Linked DNA regions of Saccharomyces cerevisiae S288C. Changing the gene in region 1 together with any one later gene gives a genetic interaction. Each region holds a gene or a part of one and is shown on either strand. Other genes may lie near its edges.

What was found.
Region 2: mutations in PPQ1 (region 1) and YNL035C together harm fitness more than expected from each alone (negative genetic interaction), as found in Saccharomyces cerevisiae (one large-scale study listed by BioGRID).

What each region holds. Positions count from the first base shown.
Region 1 is NC_001148.4:206,148-210,391, reverse strand, and holds PPQ1 (protein-serine/threonine phosphatase), read right to left. Parts: upstream 2,236-4,244; coding exon 586-2,235; downstream 1-585. Other genes in the region: TCO89 (Tco89p), read right to left, coding at 2,745-4,244. UniProt on the Saccharomyces cerevisiae protein: Phosphatase involved in the regulation of protein synthesis. Affects translational accuracy.
Region 2 is NC_001146.8:567,815-571,597, forward strand, and holds YNL035C (uncharacterized protein), read right to left. Parts: upstream 1,878-3,783; coding exon 708-1,877; downstream 1-707. Other genes in the region: YNL034W (uncharacterized protein), read left to right, coding at 2,663-3,783.

The DNA.
Region 1 (4,244 bases):
ATTGAAATATACCGATTGTTTTAATCCGTTTTGTTGTATATTATCGTAATAATATGCAGATAATATACATATATACGTATTACGCCGATTAGGCTGACACTTTAACAAAATTTTCTGTCCAATTATTGTCCGATATAGTGTAACGGCTATCACATCACGCTTTCACCGTGGAGACCGGGGTTCGACTCCCCGTATCGGAGTTTTCTTTTTGCTTCCTTCCGCCCTTCCAAGTTGTTGCATAATCTTATCTGTCAAAATATGAACGCTTGAAAACTATAGATTATAATTATCATTTATTTAGCCATAATGGAGGGAAGAATAATATGATTGCATATCAAAGGTAAAAAAAGTCGAGTAAATGACTTATAAACGTAAAAAATATATTGATAAAAGACATAAACGAGGCCATGAAGGTGGGAAAAAAAAAAATAACTGCATAATAATGTTAACTAAATGAAAATAAAATGAAAAATAAAATGAAAAATAAAATGAAAAAAACAAATCATAGGACAAAAAGTTTCCAAATGAAGGATAAGAGGCCTAAAAACCAATGTGCTTTCCAGGCAAAACCAATCTTAGCAACAGCTACACTTTGGTTTTGTATAACTTCTTTTTATTTTTCAATGCACGCGGCTTTAACAGTTCAAAGCTACACATCATACCCGTTGTAACGCTCATTACTGCCCCCCAATTATGAAATTCTCCACAATAATTTGGTGCTGAAAAGATTGTGACAAACTTTTTCCTGGCAAAGAATTCATAACCATCTTCTACGACCATATGTCCCCTAAGTATTAAATCGAATTTAAACTTAGCACAAAAATCAAGAACGTTCCTCTTAGAAAATGTGTATGAAACACCACGATCATTTTCTGACCAATCAGTTACTTGAGGGTCTGGGTCACTCCACAGTAAGTCTGTAACCAGCCCGCTTTCAGGAATATCCGTTGGTCTTGCGACTTTTTCGATTTGCTTCATGTCATGTAAATCGGGCGATATACCTCCATGAACGCAAAAGATCTTATCTTGAATAATTGCTGCTAATGGCAAAGTATTAAATACGTCAACGAACATTTTCCATACTTTCGAGCTCAATCGCCTTTTGCATTCATCATAGAAACCGTACATCTTTGTGACATTAGCAGATTCGTGATTACCCCTTAACATAAAAAAGTTGTCTTTGTACTTTATTTTGTAACATAATAACAATAGTATTGTTTCCAATGAGTTCTTACCACGGTCCACATAATCACCCAAGAACAGATAATTAGTATCAGATGGCACACCAGACAACTTCAAAATTCTCAATAAATCATTAAATTGTCCATGAACATCACCGACAACTTTGATAGGCGCTTGTAATCTCAAAAGAGTAGGTTGATTCAAAAAAATTTCTCTTGCATGATAGCAAATGAGTTGAATTTCCCAAGAATGGAATGGAAAGTTCTTTTTTTTGGACGTTTTTGTAATTTCTCTTGACTCACCCACTTGTAGTAATTTTTCGATCGCAACATCGATATCAAGACCTTCATTTGAAGAGGTATCATGAGAATACCGTCTCAAAAATATAGGCTTCTTGCTACTTTTAGGATTAGGTATCCCAGATGTTGGGGACGAAGGCGCACCAAAAGAACCTGCCTTAACCGAAGATGAAGGAGACTTAACTCTGGACGATAACCCTGAAGATTTTAAAAATGATGAGGTTGATGAGGAAGCAGACGTAGCGGATGAGTAGTAGGAGGAAAAAGAATATGAGGATGGAGAAGAATAATTTGATTCACGATAAGAGGGTGATGTCAGGATATTATTTGAGGTAGTGGCAGTGGTAGTAGAGGAAGTTCTTGCGGTATTGATCAGCTTCGGAGCAGTTGCTGATGAGGATAGGGCTTTAGCGACAGAAACATCGATATCTAGGTACAAGCTCTTCAAGTTTTCATCCTTAGTGTATATTTTCTGTTTATGGGCATTCTCACCAGGAATGAGCAAATTATCATTGCTAGCTCGTTTATTGTTGTTGTTTTTCCCGGCCGATGCTAAAGTGTTGTAATTGTTTATAGAATGTTTATTATTGAATTTCTTGATAGTAGGTAGAGACCTACTATCATCTGGGTCATTAGGTTCGTTACTGTTGAGATCATCTGAAGGTGTAGTTAATTGTTGCTGACTAGAGTTTGAATTAGTTGAGCAATTCGGTACTGCAAAGTTATTATTTGATCTGGACGGGCTTCTTCTCATAAATAGAATATAAGTGAAGGGAAAACAATATCTAACTTGAAAGGAAAATGGACTAAAGTAATAAAATAGGTTTTTTGTAAGGACAAGCTTGTAAATGAAACGTCAGAGACTCGGTAAAACAAGATTAATTTGAATGTAGTGATTCTGACCGATAGTATTTATAGTCCGTGAGGAATACTTACCAAAAAATTGCTAAAAGAATAGACACGTTTAAGGTATATTTACTAATGCCATTTTTTAAGAGATACGGAATCCAGCGAAATCGCTAAATTTGCGGTGGTTGCATTCAACGTTTTTCTTTCTTTTTGTTCGATAATTTATCATTTATTACGTTAACCGGGTTATACAAATACGCCTCGTTAGCTCGTATAGAAGTACATGTCCTTTTATAGTGCATAAACATAGTATGTTCCTTAAGTGTCCAAACATATTCGCTCTCTACGAACTTCGCGTTTTACCTCGAAAGCATTAGCTACTCTTTTAAACTGTGTGCTTCGTGTTGGTTGTTTTCACCTTTGTTGTGGCTGTGTATGCATGTAGCCCACATTTTCCATCCTGCGATTCACTGCCCTCGTAGTCGGCTGCAGAGAGTTAATGACGCGTTGGTGGTGCAAAGTCGTGCTGGAACCCATCGGGCCCCTCAGCAAGTTACGTGCATTCTGTGAAGCAGTGTGGCCAACGCTGTGGTTTGTACTCGTTGTCCTATTCTTGTTGATTGGATTAACATCCTTGTTAAATAAGTAACTTTCGCTTTTCCATATACCGGACAACACTGCCTGAATCTTTGCACTTGCAAGATGTGGATAAAGATCATCAAATTTTTTGTCATAGTTAGTAAAGAGCAAATCGTCCTCATCCTTATGATCTGTATCACTGCTAGAATGTGCGATTGACTGAGCATCGTTATGGCTTTTTTTCCTGATATTATTTGCATTTCCCGTTATTATAGGTTGTACTCTCAACAATGCTTCATCTAATGGGTTGTAAAATCTTTTTACATTAGAGTATTCATGGGATATTCTCTCAAACTCCCTTTTCGCATCAATGTTTCCTGCCATAAAGATAGAGTCACTACCGTCATTTTGTGAACTTAAGTCCATAATAGAATTCTCCCTCTGCAACCATAATTTTCTTTGTGTTCTTGATTCTGCATCAATCCCATCTGATTTAAGGAACTGGGCGAAGCTATTAAATTTGGCACCTGAGTTGGATTGTCTGTTTGCATCGCTACCGGAGTTCGTACTAGATGTAATATGTTCGTTGGACAATGGAGAGGCCGGGGCTGCAGAATTTTTGTTGAGATCGTTGGATCTCAGAAGTAGATTCTGATTACCTTTCTTGTGAAAAATATTATTCATTCTTGAACCATGGAAGCTTTCAGGAGCAGCTCTCCTCAAATTATTGGTTAAACTCGATATGGAGGTCGAAAAGTTGTGCTGTGGTACATTATTATCTTTACTACCGATGTTAGCAATGGTGGGGAAAGTAGACTGAGAGTTCGGTATATTTTGGCCAAGTTGAGATCTTCCACCATTTTTCTTGCTCTTGCGCAATTTGCCATCATCCAGTTCATTAAAAGTATCACCTGAAGCCATATGCTCACCCGAGTCATGAATTTCATTCCCAAGCGAATTTTGGATGGATGATGAATTTTCAAATCTACGTTCAACTCCAGTCGACTGGGAGAGAATCATATTAGGCGCATAATTTTCCAGTAAGCTATGCCCTTCAATATCCTTGGTACCAGCGGAAGAAATATCATCAGGCTTGATTAGATCTTCTTCTTCGTTTAATAATTTGTGTTGTTTAGAACTTTGTCTCCTAAGAGACATAAAGCTCGAGTCGCTTTTTCTTGATGAATTACTCCTAGGGGCATCAATGTGATCTTCCTGATCAAACTGTTCATCTGAATGACTTGGTTTTTGATTACTTTTATGTGCAGCTAAGGTATTACCAACATCAAGAATTTTTTTTTCTTTATCATATGGTGCTTCTGATATATTATCGCC
Region 2 (3,783 bases), on another chromosome or scaffold:
CATCATTTTATATGTTAATATTCATTGATCCTATTACATTATCAATCCTTGCGTTTCAGCTTCCACTAATTTAGATGACTATTTCTCATCATTTGCGTCATCTTCTAACACCGTATATGATAATATACTAGTAACGTAAATACTAGTTAGTAGATGATAGTTGATTTTTATTCCAACACATTCCAATACCACTGATAAGTACATTCTGCATGTCTATTTATAAAACCTTCTTTAAGACAAATATGCTATTTATCCTTTGATAACAATTTCCTGTGAGACAGAAATCACCATAAAATAATCGGGCGTGTGGTCTAGTGGTATGATTCTCGCTTTGGGCGACTTCCTGCCTAAACAGGAAGACAAAGCATGCGAGAGGCCCTGGGTTCAATTCCCAGCTCGCCCCTTTATATTTTTTCACCATCAACGTGGTGTTTCACTTATTCCTTTTCTAGTATTTTTTTTCCACCTTATAGAAGCGTGCACGTTTAATGCTGGAGATAAAAAAAAAAAATGCATTAATACTCTATATAGCAGAAATATAGTTGTTATAACATTGTACCAACAAAAGAAGCCCTATGAAGATAAACTATGATCTAGAAGTATCAACTTGTTTGGAATGTATGCTTCGTTTTTTAAGTTATAGAGTAGTTCTGCCGAAATCTCTTGCAGATGTTAGGCATCTCTTTAGATGTATTGTCTTTATGAAACTAGTATGGTTTGAAACGACTTTTCATGGAATGTTTCTTGGCTTTCTTGTGTTTCTCCTTCCTTGGCCTCGTGGAAACCGATTCTTTTTGAATAATAAGAGGTTCGTCTAAATTAATGGAACCTTCTCTGTCGTCATCTCCTAAGACGTTCATTTTTTTAGAGTAATCCCAAAAATTTTCTGGAATATCTAACGGCCCCTGTTTGTTTTCCCAAATTTTAACGCAACCATCTTCACCACAGGAGTATAACATGTTGCTATGTTGTGCTGGTATAAAAATATCTCTGACGACCTCGTCTCCATGGGCGTGTGGGATAACAATACCGTTTTCAGTATCCACCTTCTCATCTTTAAATGGTAGGAGGCACAACTCTCCACAATTTTCTTGGGTTTTACCGGTTGCAATGAGTCCAGGGTAAATATCTACCACGTAGTCACAGTTCCATATTTCTCTTACATCACCAAAGTCCAAGGGTTGTGGCTCTTTCAATTCGTCAGATTTGTCGTTCAATTCGTGAATTGCAAATGTTTCCATATGTGATAGTGTAAATATCCTCTTTGGGGACAACCATCCACAGGAATGTATTGACGCATAATTAATAACTTGGTGTAAAGCGTCCTCCTCCTCATCTTGTTTCAAGTCATAAATGTTCGTGTAACCATCAGTTGAACCACTGAGCAAAATATTGACGTCAGAAGGATGAAATTTAATACAGGTAACGTCATCATGGTGAGAGTCAATTAATGATCTCAATGGAGTGTCCCATTTGCGAATATCATATATGTATACAGCAGCGTCAATTCCCTGCAATTCGGTACCACAGGCCAATAGACCATGACGAGAATCTAAGGAAATAAAGGGGGAGTTGGCCTCGTTTTGAATTTGAGCAATGCGGTCATTCGTCCTTATATCGAAAACTTTCACCGCGTCGATAGAGGCGCTACTAACTAGATGACCAGCAGAGAAGTCGCTACCGATGACCTTCATATCATTGATTGCAGTTTCGCTCGCCTTAATCTTTTGTACTGATTTACCAGTACTCCAGTCTAGCAAACGTATTTCGCCATTACTTAATCCAGTTAAAAGACCATGTTTATAACTAGGCTGTAACTTAAGACACCAATTTTCTGACCCGAAAGAATTCGATTCAACTAAAGAATAACTAGCCATGCTCTAGAAGTTAATTTGAGATTCTCGAACTTAAGTAGTTTTTATTTACACAGTAAGACGAGCCAGTGCCTATGTCCTAATGACTGCGTACGTGCACTGTAGTCCCATCTAACATTTTTACAATCTGGACTAAGAAAACTTTTATAAATCACATTGCCAATGCAAAAAAAAAGAATGGTCTCTAGCGGGATCGAACCGCTGATCCCCGCGTTATTAGCACGGTGCCTTAACCAACTGGGCCAAGAGACCACTGTTATCTGTTTTCCACCGTCCCTCCACACTACCAAACCAACGTCACTACTGTGTGCCAGCACCACCGCTCATTATCCCTGTGCCACAAAACTCAACTTACACTGTCATTCGAATTTCCGGCAAACTCCGACTGAGAAATGTTCGTACTACTTCCTTTCTAGGGCACATTGAGGAAAAACTCATTGAATGCACCCTTTACAAATCTTAATATCTCTGACGTTTGTATTGTATTAACCAAGCAACCCTCCCTGTGCAAGTAGAAGCCCTGGATCCTTTGTGGTCGTAAAATGAACAAATACCAATAAGACGAAAACAAAAACAAAAACAAAACGACATAGCAACAATGCGGAATTATTTAAGGCTGGCACTCTTTCCGCATGTTTATCACAATTATTTCCACTTTCACTTAAAACCTTGTTTAAGCTTGGCCTACACCACAGGAAAAAAAACCATCCGATCTAATCTTCAAATATCAATTTGAGGTTGAAAAAATTTGCTAAAGCGTTGGTCTAATTTTGTTTTTCGCCCACATAATGTCTACATCTTTCCAGGAGTTCAAGGCCTTTTGCAACAAGGTTGGGCTAGACTTTCAATGGCTTAATTTGCAATCCTCCAAGTCTGTTCCCGAAAGCGGTTCCTCTGAAGGTTTCTCAGCCGTCAGTGATACCGTACAAGAAAACATCAGACCAGCTACGGAACCACTTAACGTCAACCAGTCCAAAGATCCTGTCAGCAACTTTTTTTATGATGTCAAGAATGCTCCGCTCTGGAACGTGTATAAGAGGAATCATTCCGGTCATTCTTCTACTGAGGCTTGCTCTGGAGTAAGTTCAGGGCAAGCGTCAAAAAACATACCCGAGGCAATGGTAAAAGAGACAGTCCTTTCTAATCACGACAATGTCACCATAATAAACGAATTACTGCCAACGTCTTCTGCCATGCACCAGGAAGAAAGCACCGCTATGACAACCTCCTACCTCTTATCCCACTCCGTAAATGATAGTTGCAACGTAATGCTTTCTTCCTCCTCCCACAACCGTGCTATGCTCCCACCTTCTCTTGTGCAAAGAAATAACGCTACCACATCTCCCACAACAGACTCTGCGTCAGAAAACAACGAATCGGTACCCTCACTAACCTCATCTGTTAGCACATCCTCATCAGTTTATTCGTCATGGAATCCTCCTCATTCTCCCCACATATCGTCATTTCCAGACGGCAATTTCGCATCGCTTAACGCAGAAGTGACTTGCTTTGATTTCCGCCGCACCAAGGACTCCAGAACAAAAGAGACGAATGAATCTATCATTCCAACTGAAATTTACTGCCCAATAAATTCCACTGATCACCACAAACATTATCCAAGCCAAAAATCTAAACAAGATGCCTGCGCTCCTGCTCCCCGCAATCAAAATATAAGCTGCAGCGTCGGGTCCGCAGCGGAATTTTCCCAGTCTAACCACACGTTGACTACTGTAGTTCCTTCATACATGCAACAGTACCTTGACAGGCCACAGAACTGGTTTGAAAGCAAAATGGGAAAATACTGTCCACTCTTTCTGAGAAGTACAAAGAACATTGACTACGATTCCCTCGAATTTAAATTTGAGCGCAAGATGATAGCTGTTCAATACCTGCTTTTAGACGAACAATC